Linked DNA regions of Drosophila melanogaster. The gene in region 1 interacts genetically with each later gene. Each region holds a gene or a part of one and is shown in the gene's direction. Other genes may lie near its edges.

Region 1 (4,211 bases):
TGCTTGGGACTTGTGGCATCATATGCACCAAATACTTATATAGTTGATAAGAACGATACACCTAAGAGGTTTTTATAGCACACAAAGTTTCCATATTTGGTTATTTATACTGTATTTAATGTATTAATAAATAAAACACGTCCTCGAGAGGATATTAACCAAAGATTGGAGTTTTGATAAATACATATATATACCCTTACGAACCATTATCTAGTGTTATCGTATGACCAAAAATTAATCTAGTAGCTGCCTGTTACACTAAGTCAGACAGATCTAAAACCCTTATTTAAACTAAATGTATTCTCCCAAACTTCTAGAACTACGTAGCGCATTTCGGCGAGCTTTTGTAGTCGGAATGTCATCCAAACCTCAGTACACCCTAAGCGAAGTGGATGGGGATCTGTTTTCCGCCCCCAAGACCTATTCCTTGGCGCACTGTGTGGGCGCAGATCTTGCGATGGGTGCTGGAATTGCCGTGCAGTTCAAGAAGGTATTCGGAAGGTTGGACGAGCTGCAAGCCCAACAAGCGGGCAGTGGAGATATTGCGGTGCTGAAGGATGACCAGCGGTACATTTACTACCTAGTAACCAAGCCTCAGAGCTGGGGAAAGCCCACCTACGAATCTGTACAAGCATCTTTGGAGCAGATGCGTGAGCATATGGTAAATACATGCCTGATACATATCTTTTATGAATGGAATGTATCCCTGCTTTTATTTATTATATATATAAAGCTTAGACAAGTTATATTAATAAGAGCTACATTTTATTATTCCTACATTAGCGCAAAAACAACGTGAATAAGCTGGCCATCCCAAAAATTGGCTGCGGAATTGATGGCTTGGAATGGGAAAAAGTCAGCGGAGTCCTCGAGTACGTTTTTGGCCAAGAGCCGCTGGAGATTGTTGTCTACAATTTTGTGCCTCCACAGGGAAAATAATGGATCGTTTAGTTTAATATGAGCCATTTACTTCATAGCAACATAATTATAAACGACCAGCTCAACAGAATCCGCTTGAAAAACCTGGCAAATTATTTCCTTAACTTTGGGCCAGTTTAGGCCATCCAAACCGCATCCAATGCGGGGCATGGCTAGCTTGGGTACTTGGTGGGAGATCTGCAAATGGTAGAAAGATTCGTATATCATAACTTCTTATAGAAGATACATAAACATACCATGTGTTTTCGCATGGCGATCAAGGAACTCTGGAGAAGTTCGTAGGTGGGCTTTCCCCAGCTGGATTTCTTGGTGATCAGATAGTAAATAAATCGCTGCTGGTCCTGAAGGACAGCCACGCCGCCTGGCTGAACATTTTGTCTCTGCAAATTCAACAACTGTCCAAATTTGTTTCTGGAAAATAGGCAAATTTACCATTTTATTAAAAACACTAAGCCATTACCTACCGAAACTTTACAGCTATGCCTCTGCCCATTCGCAAATCGGCAGCCACGCAGTGGCACATGGAATAATCCCTTTGGCATTTGAATAGGTCGCCATTGATCTCTCTGTAAGTTAGTCCTGACATTTCCATAAAACTTTTACATTTATACTCCTCCGACTTCTTCACAAAAATTGTTTTCAATTGTGCGCTTTCTGCGTGTCCACGTTTTCCTCCGAATGGCTGCCAGCTGGTGTTTGGCAACGCGTAAGTAAACAACGATTGGCAACACTGAAGCATATACACTGCACTAAAATTAAACCCGATCAGCTGATAACAAATGAGTTTTATTTTTAAATTTATTGCCACTTTTGTACGCAAAATGCTGGAGCTGTTGCAATTTGGAGGGAAAACCCTTACGCACACGCTGAGTATTTATGTAAAAACGAACACGGGCAAAACGCTGACCGTTAATCTGGAGCCCCAGTGGGATATTAAAAACGTAAAGGAACTGGTGGCACCACAATTGGGACTTCAGCCGGATGATCTAAAGATCATATTTGCCGGTAAGGAACTAAGCGATGCCACGACAATAGAGGTAAGAAGTTTCTTTAATGTATCCGCTACATGAAGTTAACTTTTACTGTCTTCTAGTAGCAATGTGACTTGGGTCAGCAAAGCGTTTTGCATGCCATTCGTTTGCGACCGCCCGTGCAGCGCCAGAAAATCCAGTCGGCCACTTTGGAGGAGGAGGAACCTTCGCTTAGCGATGAAGCCTCCAAGCCTCTAAATGAAACTCTGTTGGACTTGCAGCTGGAAAGCGAGGAGCGTCTGAATATAACCGATGAAGGTAGGCAACAATTAGTTTTTATTGTTTTTTTTTTTTTTAACGAAACCCCTTGTAATCCCGTCGTATCCTCTCCAGAAAGAGTCCGTGCCAAAGCGCATTTCTTTGTACATTGCAGCCAATGCGATAAGCTGTGTAATGGCAAACTTCGGGTCCGCTGCGCTTTATGCAAGGGCGGCGCCTTTACTGTCCATCGTGATCCGGAGTGTTGGGATGATGTCTTGAAGTCGCGTAGAATTCCCGGTCATTGTGAAAGTCTGGAGGTGGCCTGCGTGGACAACGCGGCTGGCGATCCGCCCTTCGCTGAATTCTTCTTCAAGTGTGCTGAGCATGTCTCCGGCGGGGAGAAGGATTTTGCGGCTCCATTGAATCTAATCAAGAATAACATCAAGAATGTTCCTTGCCTGGCCTGCACGGATGTGAGGTGATTATGCAATAAGGAACATCTTAATTTCTTATAATTTTCATATCATCGAAAATGTCATAAAAAGTTCTTTTAAAGTCTTTAAAGTAATTATTTGTCATATAATTTTATTCTGCTATAATCACCTTATTATGTTCGCAGTGATACCGTGTTGGTTTTCCCCTGCGCATCGCAGCACGTCACCTGTATCGACTGCTTCCGCCATTATTGCCGTTCCCGTTTGGGCGAGCGTCAGTTTATGCCGCATCCGGACTTCGGCTACACCTTGCCCTGTCCCGCAGGCTGCGAGCACTCGTTCATCGAGGAGATTCATCACTTCAAGCTGTTGACACGCGAGGAGTACGATCGGTACCAGAGATTCGCCACCGAGGAGTATGTCCTACAGGCAGGTGGAGTACTCTGCCCCCAGCCAGGATGCGGCATGGGCCTTTTGGTGGAGCCCGATTGTCGCAAGGTGACATGCCAGAACGGCTGTGGATACGTGTTCTGCCGCAATTGTCTGCAGGGCTACCATATCGGGGAGTGTCTGCCCGAGGGGACGGGCGCCAGTGCCACAAACTCCTGCGAGTACACCGTGGACCCAAATGTGAGTTGGCTCTTATACGGCCCATTCCCGCTTGTGTAATCATGTGCTTTTTTAGCGAGCTGCCGAGGCGCGATGGGATGAGGCCAGCAATGTCACCATCAAAGTCAGCACAAAGCCCTGTCCAAAATGCAGAACCCCCACGGAGCGAGATGGTGAGTTGGGCGAGCATCGAAGACACCCAAGACGCAGTTTGTAACACATCCATACCGTCTTCTTCTCTTCCTACCAGGCGGTTGCATGCACATGGTCTGCACACGCGCTGGCTGCGGATTCGAGTGGTGCTGGGTCTGCCAGACTGAGTGGACACGCGACTGCATGGGAGCCCACTGGTTCGGCTAATCCTTCGTCATCGTTGTACGTCGGCCCGACGGGTCCTTTTTGTTTGTTGACTACTTTTAAATTGTATACCATAGTAAAGACTGCTCGAACAACACCCTGTTTGTCGTCTACGCAATCAATAGCAGAAACACCCCTGACAAGGACCAACGCGAATCACATCCTACCCCACTCTGTTCCTTTGTTGCGTGCGCACAAAAACTTTGTTTACGTTTTTTTTTAAGCTCGCCCACAAATATTTTGAGGGCTTTCCTCTTCGGCCAGGCATGCGAAAACCGCAACAAACACGTGCATTTGGCCAAACAGCCAGAGAGCGAGTGCCGCGAATGCGCAGTGGGTGGTCAGCGGCACAAGGTTCATGTGATTTCAACCCAGGCGCGTAGCCGCAAGGGGACTAATAATTGATTGGGGGATGGTAAAGGCATTTCAAAAATGTTCCTGGATTTTCAAAAGTACTAACTACTATTCTTGCTAAAGAGAGAAAACACAAAAGAGAAAATTATTAAGAAACTGAAACTTAAATTTTGGCCGTTAATACGTAAAATTAAATATTTCACTTTAATACAGTTTTATAATTCATATGTGCAACCGCCCTAGGACACATCTGTAAATCAATAGATTTTAGGCAATTATATATAGG
Region 2 (7,429 bases), on another chromosome or scaffold:
GCGCTTGTCAAAGTAGTACATGCCCTCATGCTGGCCCCATTGCCTGGGCGAGATGAGCTCCCCCTGTTGTTCCCACTGCCGCCTGGAGCTGGGTCGCTCCTCCTCGTGCGCCTCCACCTCGATGGCCGAGTCGTTGCTGCTCGGCTGGCTGGTTTCCGAGTTGTTGGGCGCCGGGGTTCTTCTGACCAAGGCCCTGGATGAGGTTTCCACACGATGTTCGCCTTGAATAGAAACCAACAAAAATCCATGTTAGTCAATCTTATTCGAAATAATCTACAGATCTAATAAAATAGCATTGCGATTGCTTACCACTACCGCTGCCATCAGCTTCGGTGCTAACGCTGCTAAAGTCCAAAGATTGTGGATGAATCGCGCGTTGGACCTGGACGGGATTCTGGGCCACTCGGGCAGAAGGCGCCACACTGAGCAGTGCCAACTCGATGGATCCTTTGCTGCTGTTGTAGGTCAGGTCGCCCAGGGGATGGGGTGTGACCAGGACGTTTCCGGAGGCGGGTATGGTGTCCACCAGGAAATCCGTTTGAGTGGCCTTGGCACTGGTCGCCGATCGAATGTGGTACATGAAGTGGTGCTGTGAGTTGTCCTGCTGGCGCCTAAGCTTCTGCTGGCATTCGCTTAGCTCGGTGCGCAGGGTCTCGAAATTGCACTTCATCTTCACAAAATCATCTGTCTTTCTGTCCAGTCGTTCCTGGACATACTCGTTGAAGCCCTGCAGACGCTTCGCTTCTACTCTCAATGAGTTGATCTTTTGCTGCAGGCTCTCGTTCTCGGCCAGCAATCGATCAAAGCTGCTGCTAGAGTTGTTTGAATTGGAATTGTAATTCGAATCGGAGTTGGAGTGAGTCTGGCAGTTTTTGTCCACCTTGAAGTCACCATCATGGACATACACCTGCTGCAATGTGGGCGTTAGACTCTCCGGCATAGAGTTCACTCGCTGGAATCCGGCGAACTTCACATTGCGTCTCTTTTGGTCCTGCGCCTGGATCTCCGCTATGTACTGGCCCACCTTGCTGGTCACGTGCTGGAAGCGGCGCTTCGTGTAGGCCGAATGGATGTCCTGGTAAGAGACCGCCTTGCTGGAGCGCCCGCTGCCCAATGGAGCCTTCTCGCAACCCAGTTTATGATCATCGCCTGGTTGAATAAGAAAGGATACATGTTAGCACTAGCTAATTGACTGTGCCCATTGAATGAAGTACCCATTATACATCGAGACATGGAAGTACCAAAATTATACATATATGAGATATGTTTGATGGGAATATTTCTCCCATTGTAGTTAAGCAAGTGTAGAGAGAGAGCGAACACTTCTTACCATCGACATCCTCATCATAGTCGTCCTCATCCTCCTGATCACGACCCACGGGATCGCTTACGCATGTCTTGGCGCTCTTGTTGGCCACATCCCCATCCGCATCAAAGTCTGGATCCGCGTAGCAGATCTCCAAAAATGGCGCTGTATCCCGCTCGAAGACTGCGGGCTTATGGTGCTCCGCGAACCAGGTATTCCTGGCGCCACTGCTACTCAAATTGTTCAGCTGGTCAAACAGCTCGTCCGTCGGAAAACTCTCGTCCTGTAGACTCATCGCTTTTTATGCGGAAATCCGAAAAGCGGGGGAAATAATACAATTAACACGAGACACAAAATTACACGCGGATTCCAATTGGAGCGGGAAAGGCGCCGTTACATTCTGGCTAACTGGAAACTGGCTAGTGTGACCATTTCCAATCAGTGAAAATCATTGTCAGGGTAAATTCTATTTTTAAATTAGACAAAATTTAAATTAGACAATAAAAATAAAAATAAGCTAGGTGGTAGTAATTGAAAAAAATTAATTTCAATTAAATATGGCAGCGAATTGAAAAAATACCATATTAAGCTTTCGACTGGCATAAAAATATACTAGACATGGGAAGGCATAAAAATGCACTAACGCCGGATGTCAGCGAACAACATGAGTTGGTCACCTTAACGTTACATCATGTGCATTTAAAAAAAATTAATAATATTAACTAAATTTCGTGAAATTGCTTCTCTGCAACTGGATTCTAGTCGGCAATGTACGGTTATTGGAAGTTCGAACCACGCTTTCCACAATTTGCCATTTGAAAACGCATCAGCTGAGGGGCAGCAATTAAAAGAATCGAACAACCGGAGAGGAAAATAAATACAAATATAAAATAAAACAAATACAAATATGAGCGAGAGTGGCATTAATCAGGTTAGTTGATAGAGCGAGAGGGCAGATTAAACTTTATCAACTCGATTTACGCACACAGATGTAAATTGTCAGAAAAAAGAAAAACCAAAAACATTAGATTATTATACTTTTTTCGCCTATATTTGTTTGCAGCGCAATTGGACCACGTGTGTGTGTGTGCGTGCAATTTGCGTTGCGGTATTTTCCTTTTCGCCAAATACAGTGCACTCTCGACATAGCGAACAACAAATCAATAGTTTATGTTCTCTCTAAGATATACTTAGCAAACACATGCTTGATTTTGTAGCGCACATTTTGTTTAACACTTAAACCACTCAAGTTGAGCTTATCTGGTGCGCACTGTATTCAATCGTTTTGTTTTTTCTTTCGTGTCATAATTTTTCATTTAATTTCGTTTCAGTTTTATGACGTTGATTTTTGAGCAAATACCCCCAAAAGCAATATAACACACAATAAACAGAGATAGTTAAGTTTTGAGTTTCGGGTTGGCGGCGAAGTTGCAGAAGTTGGAAGTCTGAACAACCAAATCCCCTGGGCTGCATACCTTTTGTTTTGTATCGCAATTCTCTTCTTCTACCAAAAAACCATCTGCTAAACCGAATCAACCATAAACCGGATCCCGAAATGGCGGCCTACTTGAACCGCACCATCTCGATGGTGACCGGGCAAACGGGCCCCGCCGACGACGACCGTCACGCCTCCTCCACGGACACGGTGGACAAATCCGGACCCGGTTCCCCGCTATCCCGGTTCAACTCATCGCTGCAACAATCCGGCTCCACAATGGCCGCCAATCTGCTACCGGAATCGCGGCTCTATCAATCCAACGACAAATCACCGCTCCAGATCTTTGTGCGCGCCAAAAAGAAGATCAACGATATCTACGGCGAGATCGAGGAGTATGTCCATGAGACGACCACCTTTATCAACGGTGAGTTATGTATTATATTTTTAAAATACCCAACAGAAGCCAATCCTTGAACCTCTATGTTGCATGGTATTCGATAAGAACGATTATGATTCAGTTCATCGTTTTACAAGGGAAATGGTGAAATTTTGATTCTTATCTAACATCTATTGCCTTTGGCGAAATACCCAGTTAAACCAATGTTCGTTGCTCTTTCAGCCCTGCACGCGGAAGCGGAGATCGTGGACAAGGCGGAACGGGAGCTGTTCGAAAGCTATGTGTACAAGGTGGCGGCCATTCGCGAAGTACTGCAGCGGGATCACATGAAGGTGGCCTTCTTTGGACGCACCTCCAACGGCAAGAGCTCGGTGATTAATGCCATGTTGCGCGAGAAGATCCTGCCCAGCGGCATTGGGCACACCACGAATTGCTTCTGCCAAGTGGAGGGCAGCAATGGCGGCGAGGCGTATCTTATGACAGAGGGCTCCGAGGAGAAGCTAAATGTGGTGGTAAGTGGGCTACTCAGCTCTCCTCTGGGAAATGTGTTTCGCCTAATGACCTAGTGACCCTTGTTTGCAGAACATCAAACAACTGGCGAATGCCTTGTGCCAGGAGAAGCTCTGCGAGAGCAGTTTGGTGCGCATCTTTTGGCCGAGGGAACGCTGCAGCCTGCTGCGCGACGATGTCGTCTTTGTGGACTCACCTGGTGTGGATGTGTCGGCCAATTTGGACGACTGGATCGATAACCATTGCCTGAACGCCGATGTCTTTGTGCTGGTCCTGAATGCCGAGTCAACGATGACGCGTGCGGAGAAGCAGTTCTTTCACACCGTCTCGCAGAAGCTAAGCAAGCCGAACATCTTCATCCTGAACAATCGCTGGGATGCGTCGGCCAACGAGCCCGAGTGCCAGGAATCGGTATGATCTTCTAGGCGGCCCCTTTAGTTAGTCCACAATCTCTGTCAGACCCTGCATTACCATTACATGGCAGGCGAACCATATGCCACATATGTGTACATATGTTCGTTTGCCAGCAGTTTTGCACTGCCACATCTCATAAGTAATTTCTTGGACCTCTTCGTATGCCTGTTGTCTCTCTATGTTGATGTGTGTCTTTTGTTTTTGTTTATTACCCAACCAACCAATCAATCTATCAAACAACCAACCAACTATCCACTGTAATCAACGCCAGGAATTGGCTAAGGTAATGAATGAGCTAGACCCGCTTGCTTGGTCCCACAAAAACCCAATCCACTCTGCTTTGGTCTCTTTATCGAATTGAACCGATGAACACCTCCTTGTTGACTCTTCCCAAAGCAGCTTACTTAGTTGCCCTGATTGATTGATCTATGCACTTTCTAAGACGCTTATTTCATCAATTGATAGGTTAAGTCTCAGCACACGGAACGCTGCATCGACTTCCTCACCAAGGAGCTAAAGGTGAGCAACGAGAAGGAGGCGGCCGAAAGGGTATTCTTCGTTTCCGCCAGGGAAACGCTGCAGGCGCGCATCGAGGAGGCCAAGGGCAATCCGCCGCACATGGGTGCCATTGCCGAGGGCTTTCAGATACGCTACTTCGAGTTCCAGGACTTCGAGCGCAAGTTCGAGGAGTGCATCTCGCAGAGTGCTGTGAAAACAAAGTTCCAGCAGCACAGTTCGCGCGGCAAGAGTGTTTCGGGTGACATGAAATCAATGTTGGACAACATTTACGAGCGGATCACCATATTCCGCAATCTGAAGCAGGACCAGAAGAACCTGCTCACCGAACGCATCCAGGGCACAGAGACGCAGATGATGCAGGTTACGCGGGAAATGAAGATGAAGATCCACAACATGGTCGAGGAGGTGGAGGAGAAGGTGTCAAAGGCGCTGAACGAGGAGATCTGGCGCCTGGGCGTACTCATTGACGAGTTCAATATGCCCTTCCATCCGGAGCGTTTGGTGCTGAACATCTACAAAAAGGAATTGAATGCCCATGTGGAGAGCGGCCTGGGCAGCAATCTGCGCGCCCGCCTATCCATGGCCCTGGCCATGAACGTCGAGTCCGCCCAGACGGAGATGACCGATCGCATGCACGCCCTGGTGCCCAACGAGCAGCTCCTGGCCACCAGCACCAAGATGGTGGTGCGCACGCAGCCCTTCGAGATGCTCTACTCACTGAATTGCCAGAACCTCTGCGCCGACTTCCAGGAGGATCTGGAGTTTAAGTTCAGCTGGGGCATTGCGGCGATGATCCAGCGCTTCACCGGCAAGGTGCGCGAGCGCAGCAAGAAGGGCCAGCCGGCGCTGGTCAATCGACAGAGCAGTATTGGAGTGAGTTTCTACAGTATAGTTGTGTTGCACCACCTTTACTATATCTCTGCCATCGAATCTCGTTCACAGCACAGCGTATCGACGCCGACCACGACGCCCGTGGAAGCCACTCCTGTGTGCCTGCTGCCCGCTCCCGTTGTGGCTGGCATTACGCCCGAGCAGCTGTCGTTGATCTCACGCTTCGCGGTGTCCTCCATTGGATCGCAGGGCACCGTTGGTGGTCTCGTCGTAGCCGGTGTCGTAAGTGTTAACGGTTAAATTATCATAACACCTCTTGTCCTTACCAACGACCAAGCAGGTGATAGTGCATAGCTATGTGATGAAATCAAACCACTTGCAGATGCTGAAAACTATCGGCTGGCGTGTCCTGGTGGGCGTGGGTGCCCTCTACGGCTGCATCTACCTGTACGAGCGCCTCTCGTGGACAAATTCAGCCAAGGAGCGAACGTTCAAGTCGCAGTACGTGCGCCATGCCACCAAGAAGCTCAAGATGATTGTCGACCTCACCTCGGCCAACTGCAGCCACCAAGTGCAGCAGTGAGTATTGATCCCTTAGCGTCTGAATCGCTGATCACTTATCGAATATTCTCTGTCACATCTCAACAGGGAATTGTCGAGCACCTTTGCCCGTTTGTGCCGCACGGTTGATACCGCCACCACGGACATGAATGATGAGCTCAAGACGCTGGACTCGCAGCTGAACATCCTGGAGGCGAACCAGAAGCAATTGAAGCTGCTTCGCAACAAGGCCAACTACATACAGAACGAGCTGGACATCTTCGAGCACAACTATATATCGCCGCAGTAGTGGAACAGTAGTGGGTTGGCTGACCGTGGGGCAAAACACTAACCAGAATGTGGATGATCATAGAAATCAGGCGAAGACAAACACCCAAACGACTACAACAACATTAATGCACCACGTATTTGCTGCTCAACTCTCAGTTTTTCTCTCCTCTTTTATTTTATTTTTTTTGTAAGAAAATGCATGATATGAGCCAATCGATTGGAACCTCTTTATTCTCTATCGTTTAAACAAATCGTTGTTGTTGTTGAGAATTCTTTTAATTCCTAACATGCACTACTCTGCTAGTGTGATTATTTAGTTTTCTTTTTTTTGTAATTGTTGACCCGGAAACGCACGCGTATATATATATACAAATAGAGAAGTATCCAAAACACTGTGAGCATGGCCAGGTGCCATGGAAAAGCAAGTTGCGAGGAATTATGAATGCCACATGATGATGACCGACCCCAGAATGCGAAAGTCACTCACTTATTTACCTCTTTTTCGCCCCTAATAGAAAGTCTAGTACTTATACATATTTGTTTTTGAGTTGGGACGCTAGAATAAATGTTGGGGCAAAGCAAACCAATATATATGAAAACACAATTGTTGAGATGTTGCAAAGCATGAGAATGAGAATGATTCATGAACGAAAACGAAACGAAATAAATGATATTTATGTAAGAAACTCATAATCGAAATTATTTCAGTGGAACTTTGAATATCGGAGCCGTGTCGCGAAAACGACAGAGACGGATGATGGACATTTTGGGAGCGGAATAAGGGACACCTGGTTTTTCCCACTGATTACCGGACAACGCATTTCGAATTGTCTTTTTTGTTTTAATCATATCGTTTTGATCGGGATCACACAATTGGGTTATTCTTAGTTATTCTTATTTCCTTCAAAGCATTACTAATACAAAATGTACAAAGTATATGATTTTTGTGTTTGTTCACAGAAATAAATATGTAGGTTTGGAATACAAAATAACAAAGTGAATCTCTATATACTTCTTGCTTCCATTAGCATCCGTTATCAGTAAATACAATACTTGGATATACAACTTAAAGAAATCAATTCACGTGTTCCCCTCTCTTTGGACTTGCCGGAAACTAATAACAAAGTTTTTTTTTAACTGTGCTCTTAAGAATTAGATATGTGTTTTTGCCATACAAAAAAAG
Region 3 (3,214 bases), on another chromosome or scaffold:
CGTGAGTGAGGCCAAGACGGAACCACCCGTCCAAACGGAGAATCTGCGGTCTGGACTAGCGTTAACCTTGATTCGGATGGATGGTGGAGCCATTTCGGTTAGGTCTTGCAGGAATCTATGCTCGATGTTACGAAACATGGTCGTACCGCCAGAGAGAACAATGTTCGCATACATATCCTTTCGCAGATCCATGTCGCAGTTGGTTATCGAGTGATGGGTGGCCTCGTGGATGCCCATCACCTCCTGACCCAGCAAACTGGGTTGGAAGAGAGCCTCCGGGCAGCGGAATCTCTCGCAGCCCAAAACGATTTTCTGCCCATCTGGCAGCTCATAGGTTTCCACCTTTCCGTGGAGATCCATTTCCTTGGCATAGTTCATTGACACATAGCAGAGTTTCTCCTTGATTTCACGCACGATTTCCCGTTCAGCAGAGGTGCCCATTGTAACGCCCCTCTCCAGAAGCAGCTTGCATAGATAATCGGTGAGGTCCCTGCCGGCCAGATCAACTCGTACACAGGCGTGGGGCAGGGCAAATCCTTCGTAGATCGGTACCGTGTGCGTCACACCATCACCCGAGTCCACCACAATGCCCACAGTACGCCCGGTGGCGTAAAGTGAGAGCACAGCCTGAACTGCTACATAAAAAGCTGGCACCTGAAAGTGTTCGAACATAATCTCTGTCATCTTCTCTCTATTCTTCTTCGGATTCAGTGGGGCTTCGGTGAGTAGAGCCGGCAAATCCATTGGATCCGCCCGCAAGAGCTCGTACGTGTGCTGCCAAACCATCTCCATTTCATCCCAGTTCTTGACCATTCCGTGCTCGATGGGATACTTTAGGGTTAGTATTCCCCTTTTTCGGGCTGCCGCCTCGCCAATAACACTATCACCGATCACGGAATCCAGCAGGACGTTCAGGTGACGAGGTCTGCCCACAATCGACGGGAAGACAGCACGGGGAGTATCTTCTGGGGAGAATCCAGCCTTACATACTCCAGAGCCGTTGTCAATAACCACTGCGGCGTGGTGTGAATTACTATCTACCTCGCTGCTCATGTTTCCAGGAGAGGTTGCTGAACGAATCATGGTCAAATCATAAAATCTTTAGCTTATTTAAGCAACTTACGTAAATGTAGATATTTGTGAAGAATGTTCTGTGCCCGTTTATTTGTTATATCGATTTTGATTCGGGAAGGTATTTGAAATGTAGACATGTTGTGTGCTGTGTTCCAGTCGGATTTTTAAACTTATGACGTTAATTTCATGGTTTATTTCCAATTTAGCGCCATGACATACAGAGGCCAAAAATCGATTAATTCAAGTATCAATCGAATGGATGCAGTCGATACGTAAGCAGCTAAAATATGCTAATAGTCACTAAAGTAGTATTTAAACATAAGAAATATTTAAGAAATCCTCAATATGATTTGAATATGTTTCAGTGCAATGTTTCAATTAAAAATAGTTTTTAATTTCTTTTAGTTTTACTATTTAACTTCAATATATATAAGTTGATCTCACATCACTGACTGATTGGGGTCTTTCGATATTTTCTCATCTGCTCATCTCTAGCAGTAAATTGTTCAAATAGAACAAGCGAAATAACGAGAACGTAAGCCTTGTTTTATTTGATATAAAATCTGATATCGGGACTTAGCCTTATTAGCAGTCGAATAAAACGCAGATATGTTCGTGGCCCGTAAAATTTCGCAAACTGCAAGGTAAGTTGCGAAAAAAAGTATGCCCAAATCGATGCCGGCTGATTACATAAATAGCAACAAATGGCGACCCTGATCTTGAGGACATTATAAAACAAGACACACTTAACCCTTTGCAGCCTGGCGGTGCGTGGCAAGCACACCCTACCGAAGCTGCCCTACGACTATGCCGCCCTGGAGCCTATCATCTGCCGGGAGATCATGGAGCTGCATCACCAGAAGCACCACCAGACCTACGTCAACAATCTAAATGCCGCCGAGGAGCAGCTGGAGGAGGCCAAGTCGAAGAGCGACACCACCAAGCTGATTCAGCTGGCTCCTGCCCTGCGTTTCAATGGCGGTGGCCACATCAACCACACCATCTTCTGGCAGAACCTCTCGCCCAACAAGACCCAGCCCAGCGATGATCTGAAGAAGGCCATCGAGTCGCAGTGGAAGAGCCTCGAGGAGTTCAAAAAGGAGCTGACCACGCTGACCGTGGCGGTCCAGGGCTCCGGCTGGGGCTGGCTGGGCTTCAACAAGAAGTCGGGCAAACTGCAACTGGCCGCCCTGCCCAACCAGGATCCCCTGGAGGCCTCCACCGGCCTGATCCCGCTCTTCGGCATCGATGTCTGGGAGCACGCCTACTATCTGCAGTACAAGAACGTGCGTCCCTCCTACGTGGAGGCCATCTGGGACATCGCCAACTGGGATGACATCTCGTGCCGCTTCCAGGAGGCCAAGAAGCTCGGTTGCTAAGCACAGCCGGCGATTGCGTATGTTTAATCTATAAGCATCTGCGGATCGGAGATCCTAAATTGTAGTCTAAGTTGCGGCTAATAAATTGGTACCAGCTAGCAACTAATTTTTATAATTTTTATGAATGGGAATAAAACAATTTAAAACATAATTTCCGAAGATAACGCTTCACAAAGGCGTATTGAAACTATTACTTCATTGAGGAATTAAAAAATATACATATACCTATTCATATTTTTTATTTTTATCAATTTTATTACGCTCCAAAAAAATTAATTTTTATATTAAATTAAAATATCGCAAATACTGTAAATGTTTTACAACACTGCCGCCCATGGTGCCATCTCTAGCAAATCAGCTGTGCGCGAGCCAAACAAAAACAAAACAAAAGTCAGCCTGCCGCGAAATCGGGGGAGGAAAATTGACATTTCCACCGAGTTTTCCCGAACTTGCGTGCGCGCAGCTGCAAACAATTTTCCAGCACGCGTATCCGAATGGTGGAACAAATGGCCAGCCGCTGGCAGAGTCGTTTGTTGCCTGTTCGCGTAATGGCCATCCTCGAAAATCGCCCGGAGTTTTGAAATCGAGAGACCAGTACGAAACAAAGGAAAATCATTTAATTTCCTGAGGGCGGTGACGAATGAAAAACATACAAAATAAACCACTTGAGTGCAATAATAATTTAATAAAGAACTGTGATTGTGAGTGTGTGAGGAGAACTGTTGACGCCCATCAAGGAATTTAACTTCTAAACTTCTAAA
Region 4 (7,244 bases), on another chromosome or scaffold:
ACGAAAGGCGAACAGATAGCTAATAGCGGAGTGCCAAGCCATTCACGTACAAAGATTGTCGTCTCGGTGGATGCAACGCTGGCCCATAAGCTCAAGCAGATGGAGAAGAGTGCCAAGATCGATGAGGACACGCTGAGTGGTCTGAAGGAGCTGGAGATCGGCAAGCTCAAGCCGCTTCCTAGCAGCAGCAAGAATCCGGTGCTTACCCACCGTCGCACAAAGCTGAACAAGATTCGGACGCCTTCATGCAGCAGCTCGGAGGCCTCAGACGACGACACCAAGACACGCAACAAGAAAAAGATTAACAAATTTGTCGGTGACACGCCAGTGCGGTTTCGCATGCATCGTCGCGACTCGCATGACGACTCCAGCGACTCGCAAGATCAGCTATATCCGCCGCCCGGCTCGGCCAGCAATGCGGGTAATTTTATCTCCAAAAGCGGCTCAGTAAGCGGCAAAAAAGAGGGACAATCGCAGTATAAAGAGGTACGATTATTATTGTATAATTATCAGTGAGACAGCTACTAAACTTATATTCTTTGCTTACAGCCAAATAACAAATCCGATGAAAATCGCAAATCTCACAGCCAAAAAAATCGGAAACAGCACAACAAGGATCATGTTGATAAGCATTCCCACGCTGAGAGGCAGCTGGCGGATAGCAGCACAGCTACAACAGGAAATTCCACGAATAGAAGGCGGCGCATTCGCGAGAGCCAGTCGCTGGACCGCATCACAGAGGCTCAGGAATACGAGATGCGGCATCGATGCTACGCGGAGAGCGAGGCAGCATCCTCGTCGTCCTCGTCCACCCAACATATCGATCAGAGATATTCTTTACTCAGCCTAAACACTAGCACATTCTCCGTTGCCGAAACCAAGGAGGAGTACGACGAGGAGGCAGACGCCACAAATGCCACGGACCAAATCATGAATACTTTGAATGCAGCCAAAGCAACGCTTCAACAAGAGCAATATTTTAATAACAATACCAATCTTAGTAGGAACTTCAATCACAATCACAACCAGAGCATCATCCACATCAGTAGCCAGAAAGCCAACGGCAAGAAGTCCAACGAAACACCAAAAGATATTTATAATCTGAACTCAATCGAGCATATCGACTTGATTTTGGAGGATAAAAGCCTTACCAAAGCAATACACGTTACCGGCTCTAAATGCTTTGTCACCATGAAGAAAATCCGACGGCTGGGAAAATATTTTCCCGTGATGAACTTCTCTTAATAGACACAGTTACTTCTTTGCAAAGTGCATTCTAAATATTAAAAAGAAACTCGGTTAAGCGAACTACATAGAAAATATGCATGTATTAATTAAAACGTATAAACGTCAACGTTATCCCCCGTATATAGGAAAGAGCGCGAGAATATTTAAATTTAGTGGTAGCGTAATTGTTTTGTCTGTCGTCGTCATTACGCTTAAATTATTCTAAATATATTAATTTATGTTAATTATAAGTCTAATCACTCAATGCAATATTTAGTGAAAATACATTAATGCCCATATGACAATTGACTAAAAAGGTTATTTGTTTTCTTTTTAACAAATTGTGACGAATTAAAATGGAATGAAACTCGCAACTCGCACAATCTAAAATTGGCAATTCAAATGTTTGCGCCCAACTACAGTGTGTACACACCACAAATGTTGTAGAGTAGGTAAAGGAAATAAAGCAATAAACATTTAACTACTTAAAGCTCTTAAGATGTAGTTAAGCAATGATGGATGTCACCAAGCAATTTTTTTTTATTGTAAGAAAAATATACAATATACAAAAATATATTCTTTTATTTTACAAAATGATGCGTGTAAAATACATTGTACCTAATGCAGGTACCCCAAACGAGTACAAGCCACCCTTTTCAACTCTGGTCACACAGAGCACATCCCGTAAAGTTTTTCAGAGATGAGTTTGCGGCAGGAAAATTGAATTATTCACGGAAATAAACAAAGTAAACTAAGTGGAAACTGTAATCCTGACCAGCAATTATGTTGCGCATCTATCAAAATACTTACCGGTGAGAGACCACGCCCGAAACGCGAAAGCCTTACGTGCAGATTTTCTGCACGATTTCGTCATCGGCGAATCTCATCATTCAATGTGTTTTGCCCACAGGCGCACCGCGAGAAAAGCTGTTGTCTACTCCACCAAGGTCGCCTGCTGCAATCATTCCACGCTCTGTGGCATCACCAGCCATCCACGTCGGGCGCAGGATAGCGGGAGCTCCAGTTCGAATGGCAGGCACCGTGGCCACGAGGAGTTCCTACTTGCCGGCAATCCGGCGCGGGGCTGGCAAATGCCTCCGCCGTCGCGTGGTTACGGAATGCTGGTGGTGCGCATACTGCGGGGAGCCCTCAAGCTGCGATACATCGTCCTGGGCGGCGCCATCGGCGGGGGCGTGTCGCTGAGCAAAGTGAGTTTCGCAAGTTATATAACTTGTATAGAACTTAGGAGACATGATTTGTTTTCCGCAGAAATACGAGGAATGGAAGGATGGACTGCCGAATTTTAAGTGGCTGGAGGATGCCATGCCGCAGGGCGAACGGTGGAGCCAGTTCTCGCGGAATCTCATTGAGGTGGGCTCGCTGGTGAAGAACGCCATCGAAGTTGGTGAGTGTCCATGTAGACCTACCATCGCCCTTTCAATCTCTCACTTTAAATGGTCATATACCTTGGTCAGATTCGCATTGAACTCTTCGTTTTGATTGATTGATACTGATGTTATTGGGGCGTTTGCTTGTAGATCCAAAGCTCAAGCAGCTGGGCGAGGATAAGTTGTCGGAATGGCGCAACTGGTTTGACAGTCGTCTGGACGATGCCATCGAGGCGGCCGATTATCAAGGAGTTCAGATTGTCGAAAGTAGGTTACACAAATTACACAGACTCCCAACGTTGGGACCATTTAAAGTGAGAGATCCCTATCTACCGCATTCGAGACTTATTCCTAACATCTGTTGCAGCCAAAGATGACTTAAAGGCCAAAACAACGGTGGCCGCTTTAGGCATAACATCCGATGAGAGTCGTAAGAAGTATGGTAGGTTTTTTGCACACCTGCCGAAAGATATACTATATCTAATCCTTCTGTGATTCCGCAGAGAAACTCCAGAGCCAGGTGGAGACGCTGCAGACGGAGATCATGAACGTCCAGATTAAGTACCAAAAGGAGCTGGAGAAGATGGAGAAGGAGAACCGTGAACTACGCCAGCAATACCTCATCCTGAAAACAAACAAAAAGACCACGGCAAAAAAAATCAAAAAATCCCTGATCGACATGTACTCTGAGGTCCTTGATGAGCTATCCGGCTACGATACGGGCTACACCATGGCCGATCACCTACCCCGTGTTGTGGTAGTGGGAGATCAGAGCAGCGGCAAGACCTCTGTCCTGGAATCCATTGCTAAGGCTCGCATCTTTCCCCGTGGCAGTGGAGAGATGATGACGCGAGCCCCAGTCAAAGTTACTCTGGCTGAAGGACCATACCATGTGGCTCAGTTCCGTGACTCTGACCGGGAATACGATCTCACCAAGGAGTCTGATCTGCAGGACCTCCGTCGGGATGTGGAGTTCCGAATGAAGGCGTCGGTGAGAGGTGGTAAAACCGTCAGCAATGAAGTCATTGCCATGACGGTCAAGGGTCCCGGTCTGCAACGCATGGTTCTAGTCGATTTGCCAGGAATAATTTCGGTGAGCAAGTCAATACAAGTAAAACTGCGCACATCTAATGCTAATATCATTTTAGACCATGACTGTCGACATGGCCTCAGACACAAAAGATTCCATTCACCAGATGACCAAGCATTATATGAGCAATCCGAACGCCATCATTCTCTGCATTCAGGATGGATCTGTGGACGCTGAGCGCAGTAATGTGACAGACTTGGTCATGCAGTGCGATCCCTTGGGTCGACGCACTATTTTTGTGCTCACAAAGGTGGATCTGGCCGAGGAGCTCGCCGATCCTGATAGAATAAGGAAAATCCTTTCGGGCAAACTCTTCCCCATGAAGGCTTTGGGCTACTATGCCGTCGTTACCGGTCGTGGACGAAAGGATGACAGCATAGATGCTATTCGGCAGTATGAGGAAGACTTCTTTAAGAACTCCAAGCTTTTCCAGTAAGTATAGAGAGGATGTGATTGGTAAATTCCAAAGTTCACCTCTCTCCATACTTAGTCGTCGAGGGGTTATCATGCCCCATCAGGTGACCAGCCGCAATCTGAGCTTGGCGGTGTCAGATCGTTTCTGGAAGATGGTGAGGGAAACCATTGAGCAGCAGGCGGATGCATTTAAGGCGACTAGATTTAATCTGGAAACCGAATGGAAAAATAACTTCCCCAGGTTTGTAAAAATGTTTTAAAAAATATAAGAGATCTATAACATTTGAGGTATACTCTTTTAGATTGCGCGAGTCTGGTCGAGATGAGCTGTTCGACAAGGCAAAGGGCGAGATACTGGACGAGGTGGTAACGCTCTCGCAAATCTCCGCTAAAAAGTGGGACGACGCTCTGAGCACCAAGCTATGGGAAAAGCTCTCCAATTATGTGTTTGAAAGCATCTATCTGCCCGCTGCACAGTCAGGTTCTCAAAGTAATATTTTGTAGTACTAAGTGTAGGTTGTAAGCAGATTTCGCCGACGTCATCGATGGGGGCACGTCCATCCAATCGCCCGCCTTGTGTGCTCCGTCATTGTGTGTGTTTCTTGCAAGAAGATATGGCTTGGCCTCGAACCTCACGTGTCTCTGCAAAACGTTGTGTCGTTTAAATGTTTTGTTTAATTTTGTATTTATCATGGCCCGCATTCAGCGTCGAATTCCCGTGCAAGGGAATCACATGCGTTAAATAATTTCAAACCGGTTTGACTGATATTCCTGCAACATTTCTTGAATCACAAGTGTAAATTTAATGTGTACTCCCCGGCGGACGATTTCGAATCCCATTAACACCGTTTGCCTTTGCCCCAAAATAGTGACCCGGGATTGTCACAGGTTCTGCGTTGCGATCATGTGCCGGAAAGTCGCTTATAACGAAGATTTACGAGCACCTGTACCGAAACCAGATTTTGGTTTATGTTCACATTATAAAAACGTATGCGATATTAGCGATTTATGACCGAAAAACCCGTTTAAGCCATCGCTCAGCTTGTGTTTATTTAGCATTTTATGACAGACCTGTTAATTTGCTCAATGAATTCATCCAAATCAATGTCTAATTGAATTAAATTGCAGTTATCGAGTTAGGAATCTGAATGTTTCGTCGCTTTGTTTATCATTCCCCCCGTAGTTGTGTGTCTAGTTAATTTGGCTCAACTAATTTCATACGATTACTATGCTCTTTATAGATTCCTTCAACACGATGGTAGACATCAAGTTGCGCCAGTGGGCCGAGCAGGCACTGCCCGCTAAGTCGGTGGAAGCTGGCTGGGAAGCGTTGCAGCAGGAATTCATATCGCTGATGGAGCGTTCGAAGAAGGCGCAGGATCACGACGGCATCTTCGATCAGTTGAAGTCTGCGGTGGTGGATGAGGCTATACGTCGGCACAGCTGGGAGGACAAGGCCATCGACATGCTTCGCGTTATCCAGCTGAATACGCTGGAGGATCGGTTCGTGCACGACAAGCAGGAGTGGGATTCGGCGGTTAAGTTCCTGGAGAGTTCGGTGAATGCCAAGCTCGTGCAGACGGAGGAGACTTTAGCACAAATGTTTGGTCCCGGCCAAATGCGACGAATTACCCACTGGCAGTACCTGACGCAGGATCAGCAGAAGAGGCGAAGCGTTAAGAACGAACTCGACAAAATACTCAAAAACGATACGGTATGGGTAGTATACATTATATAGTTAGTTATTCCTCATTTACACGCATTACATTATGTTGGTAGAAACATTTGCCCACCCTGACCCATGATGAACTGACTACGGTTCGCAAGAACCTTCAGCGTGATAACGTGGATGTGGACACGGACTACATAAGGCAAACGTGGTTCCCGGTCTACAGAAAGTAAGTTGTAATGCTAAACCATTTAGACTGCTTATCAGTTAGCACATATGTCTCTTTTTTCAGACACTTTCTGCAGCAGGCGTTACAGAGGGCAAAGGATTGCCGCAAAGCATATTACCTCTACACGCAGCAGGGAGCCGAGTGTGAGGTAAGTGTTAAGGTTTTCCCTCTTATCTGAACCAATTTACTTAACTTATTGCTTTCTCAGATATCCTGCAGCGACGTCGTGCTCTTCTGGCGCATCCAGCAGGTGATCAAGATAACAGGCAACGCACTGAGACAGCAAGTAATCAATCGGGAGGCGCGGCGGCTGGACAAGGAGATCAAAGCGGTGCTGGACGAGTTCAGCGATGACGAGGAGAAGAAGGGTTACCTGCTCACCGGCAAGCGCGTGCTACTAGCCGAGGAGCTAAGTGAGTGCTTTGCTTAATTGAATTTGGCGCCAATTTAATTGCTTTCAATTCAACAGTCAAAGTGCGGCAGATCCAAGAGAAGCTGGAGGAGTTCATCAATTCACTTAATCAGGAAAAGTAGTGTGCCATGACCAAAGACACAACACCCGAGGCGTTACTTATTTAACTTGATAGTTTAAGACCACATTTGAAATGTTTGTTCATAGTCACGCTTGAGCCCCTTAGTTAAGCATACTTTGTGCTCCGAAAGTAATAAACAAATAGATCGTTAGTTCGTATTATTGAAATCGTCTTTATTGTTTATGAAGTGTAACCTTATGTCGCATGCAATGCAATGTAAACTCATTAATTTAAATGTAATATAAATCATTCATTCTGTTTTAATGTAATTGTAGTTGATAAACGTTAACGCGAAACGCACTCATCGTGCTGAGTATGTAGCGGTCCGTGTGTGTTTCTGAATCTGTATCGTGTAATATATATATATACATATATATTTAAATCGGTTTGCATAAGAGCACAGCACTTTTACCAGATGCCTCATCGTGCGGTTGATTGTTTGTTTCGTTTTGTCCACGATCGGCTAATCCCGCGATGCGCCGGCATCTGTATCGGTATCGAGATCGGTGGTGGGTGCATTAACCCCGACCGATCGTCTGGCCGCGTCTCTAATTGATTGATTGTTTGATTGATAAACGTATATCTAGCTAACTATGTATGTAGCTAGCTATGTAACATAACAAGTCCGTGATTGCGGTGCAGTACCATATCTCTTACAAGGTAAACAAATGCTCGTTCCCTATCATGTTAAATA

What was found.
Region 2: of park (region 1) and Marf, changing one suppresses a phenotype caused by changing the other (phenotypic suppression), as found in Drosophila melanogaster (4 studies listed by BioGRID).
Region 3: of park (region 1) and Sod2, changing one suppresses a phenotype caused by changing the other (phenotypic suppression), as found in Drosophila melanogaster (2 studies listed by BioGRID).
Region 4: of park (region 1) and Opa1, changing one suppresses a phenotype caused by changing the other (phenotypic suppression), as found in Drosophila melanogaster (2 studies listed by BioGRID).

Annotation. Positions count from the first base shown.
Region 1 is NT_037436.4:21,194,210-21,198,420, reverse strand, and holds park (parkin), read left to right. Parts: upstream 1-1,567; 5' UTR 1,568-1,645; intron 1,646-1,651; exon of another isoform or gene 1,652-1,708; 5' UTR 1,709-1,718; coding exon 1,719-1,976; intron 1,977-2,035; coding exon 2,036-2,228; intron 2,229-2,284; exon of another isoform or gene 2,285-2,303; coding exon 2,304-2,649; intron 2,650-2,774; exon of another isoform or gene 2,775-2,790; coding exon 2,791-3,235; exon of another isoform or gene 3,236-3,290; coding exon 3,291-3,387; exon of another isoform or gene 3,388-3,464; coding exon 3,465-3,574; 3' UTR 3,575-3,667; downstream 3,668-4,211. Other genes in the region: Targ1 (terminal ADP-ribose protein glycohydrolase 1), read left to right, coding at 296-661, 784-872, 931-961; Targ3 (terminal ADP-ribose protein glycohydrolase 3), read right to left, coding at 967-1,116, 1,176-1,350, 1,404-1,525. UniProt on the Drosophila melanogaster protein: E3 ubiquitin-protein ligase which accepts ubiquitin from E2 ubiquitin-conjugating enzymes in the form of a thioester and then directly transfers the ubiquitin to targeted substrates, such as Paris, Marf, Opa1, Miro, pnut, Septin1, Tom20 and porin.
Region 2 is NC_004354.4:6,363,996-6,371,424, forward strand, and holds Marf (mitochondrial assembly regulatory factor), read left to right. Parts: upstream 1-1,953; 5' UTR 1,954-2,237; intron 2,238-2,637; 5' UTR 2,638-2,861; coding exon 2,862-3,168; intron 3,169-3,363; coding exon 3,364-3,653; intron 3,654-3,723; coding exon 3,724-4,062; intron 4,063-4,336; coding exon 4,337-4,348; intron 4,349-4,530; coding exon 4,531-5,457; intron 5,458-5,526; coding exon 5,527-5,697; intron 5,698-5,797; coding exon 5,798-5,994; intron 5,995-6,063; coding exon 6,064-6,265; 3' UTR 6,266-6,929; downstream 6,930-7,429. Other genes in the region: swa (swallow), read right to left, coding at 1-221, 310-1,149, 1,331-1,601. UniProt on the Drosophila melanogaster protein: Mitochondrial outer membrane GTPase that mediates mitochondrial clustering and fusion.
Region 3 is NT_033778.4:16,772,259-16,775,472, reverse strand, and holds Sod2 (superoxide dismutase 2 (Mn)), read left to right. Parts: upstream 1-1,557; 5' UTR 1,558-1,683; coding exon 1,684-1,718; intron 1,719-1,834; coding exon 1,835-2,453; 3' UTR 2,454-2,688; downstream 2,689-3,214. Other genes in the region: Arp53D (Actin-related protein 53D), read right to left, coding at 1-1,070, 1,124-1,211. UniProt on the Drosophila melanogaster protein: Destroys superoxide anion radicals which are normally produced within the cells and which are toxic to biological systems.
Region 4 is NT_033778.4:14,230,081-14,237,324, reverse strand, and holds Opa1 (optic atrophy 1), read left to right. Parts: upstream 1-1,875; 5' UTR 1,876-2,010; coding exon 2,011-2,039; intron 2,040-2,137; coding exon 2,138-2,435; intron 2,436-2,496; coding exon 2,497-2,632; intron 2,633-2,765; coding exon 2,766-2,882; intron 2,883-2,982; coding exon 2,983-3,057; intron 3,058-3,118; coding exon 3,119-3,708; intron 3,709-3,763; coding exon 3,764-4,137; exon of another isoform or gene 4,138-4,195; coding exon 4,196-4,360; intron 4,361-4,421; coding exon 4,422-4,609; coding exon of another isoform or gene 4,610-4,623; exon of another isoform or gene 4,624-5,360; coding exon 5,361-5,833; intron 5,834-5,898; coding exon 5,899-6,017; intron 6,018-6,080; coding exon 6,081-6,165; intron 6,166-6,225; coding exon 6,226-6,430; intron 6,431-6,486; coding exon 6,487-6,551; 3' UTR 6,552-6,714; downstream 6,715-7,244. Other genes in the region: Snrk (SNF related kinase), read left to right, coding at 1-486, 550-1,245.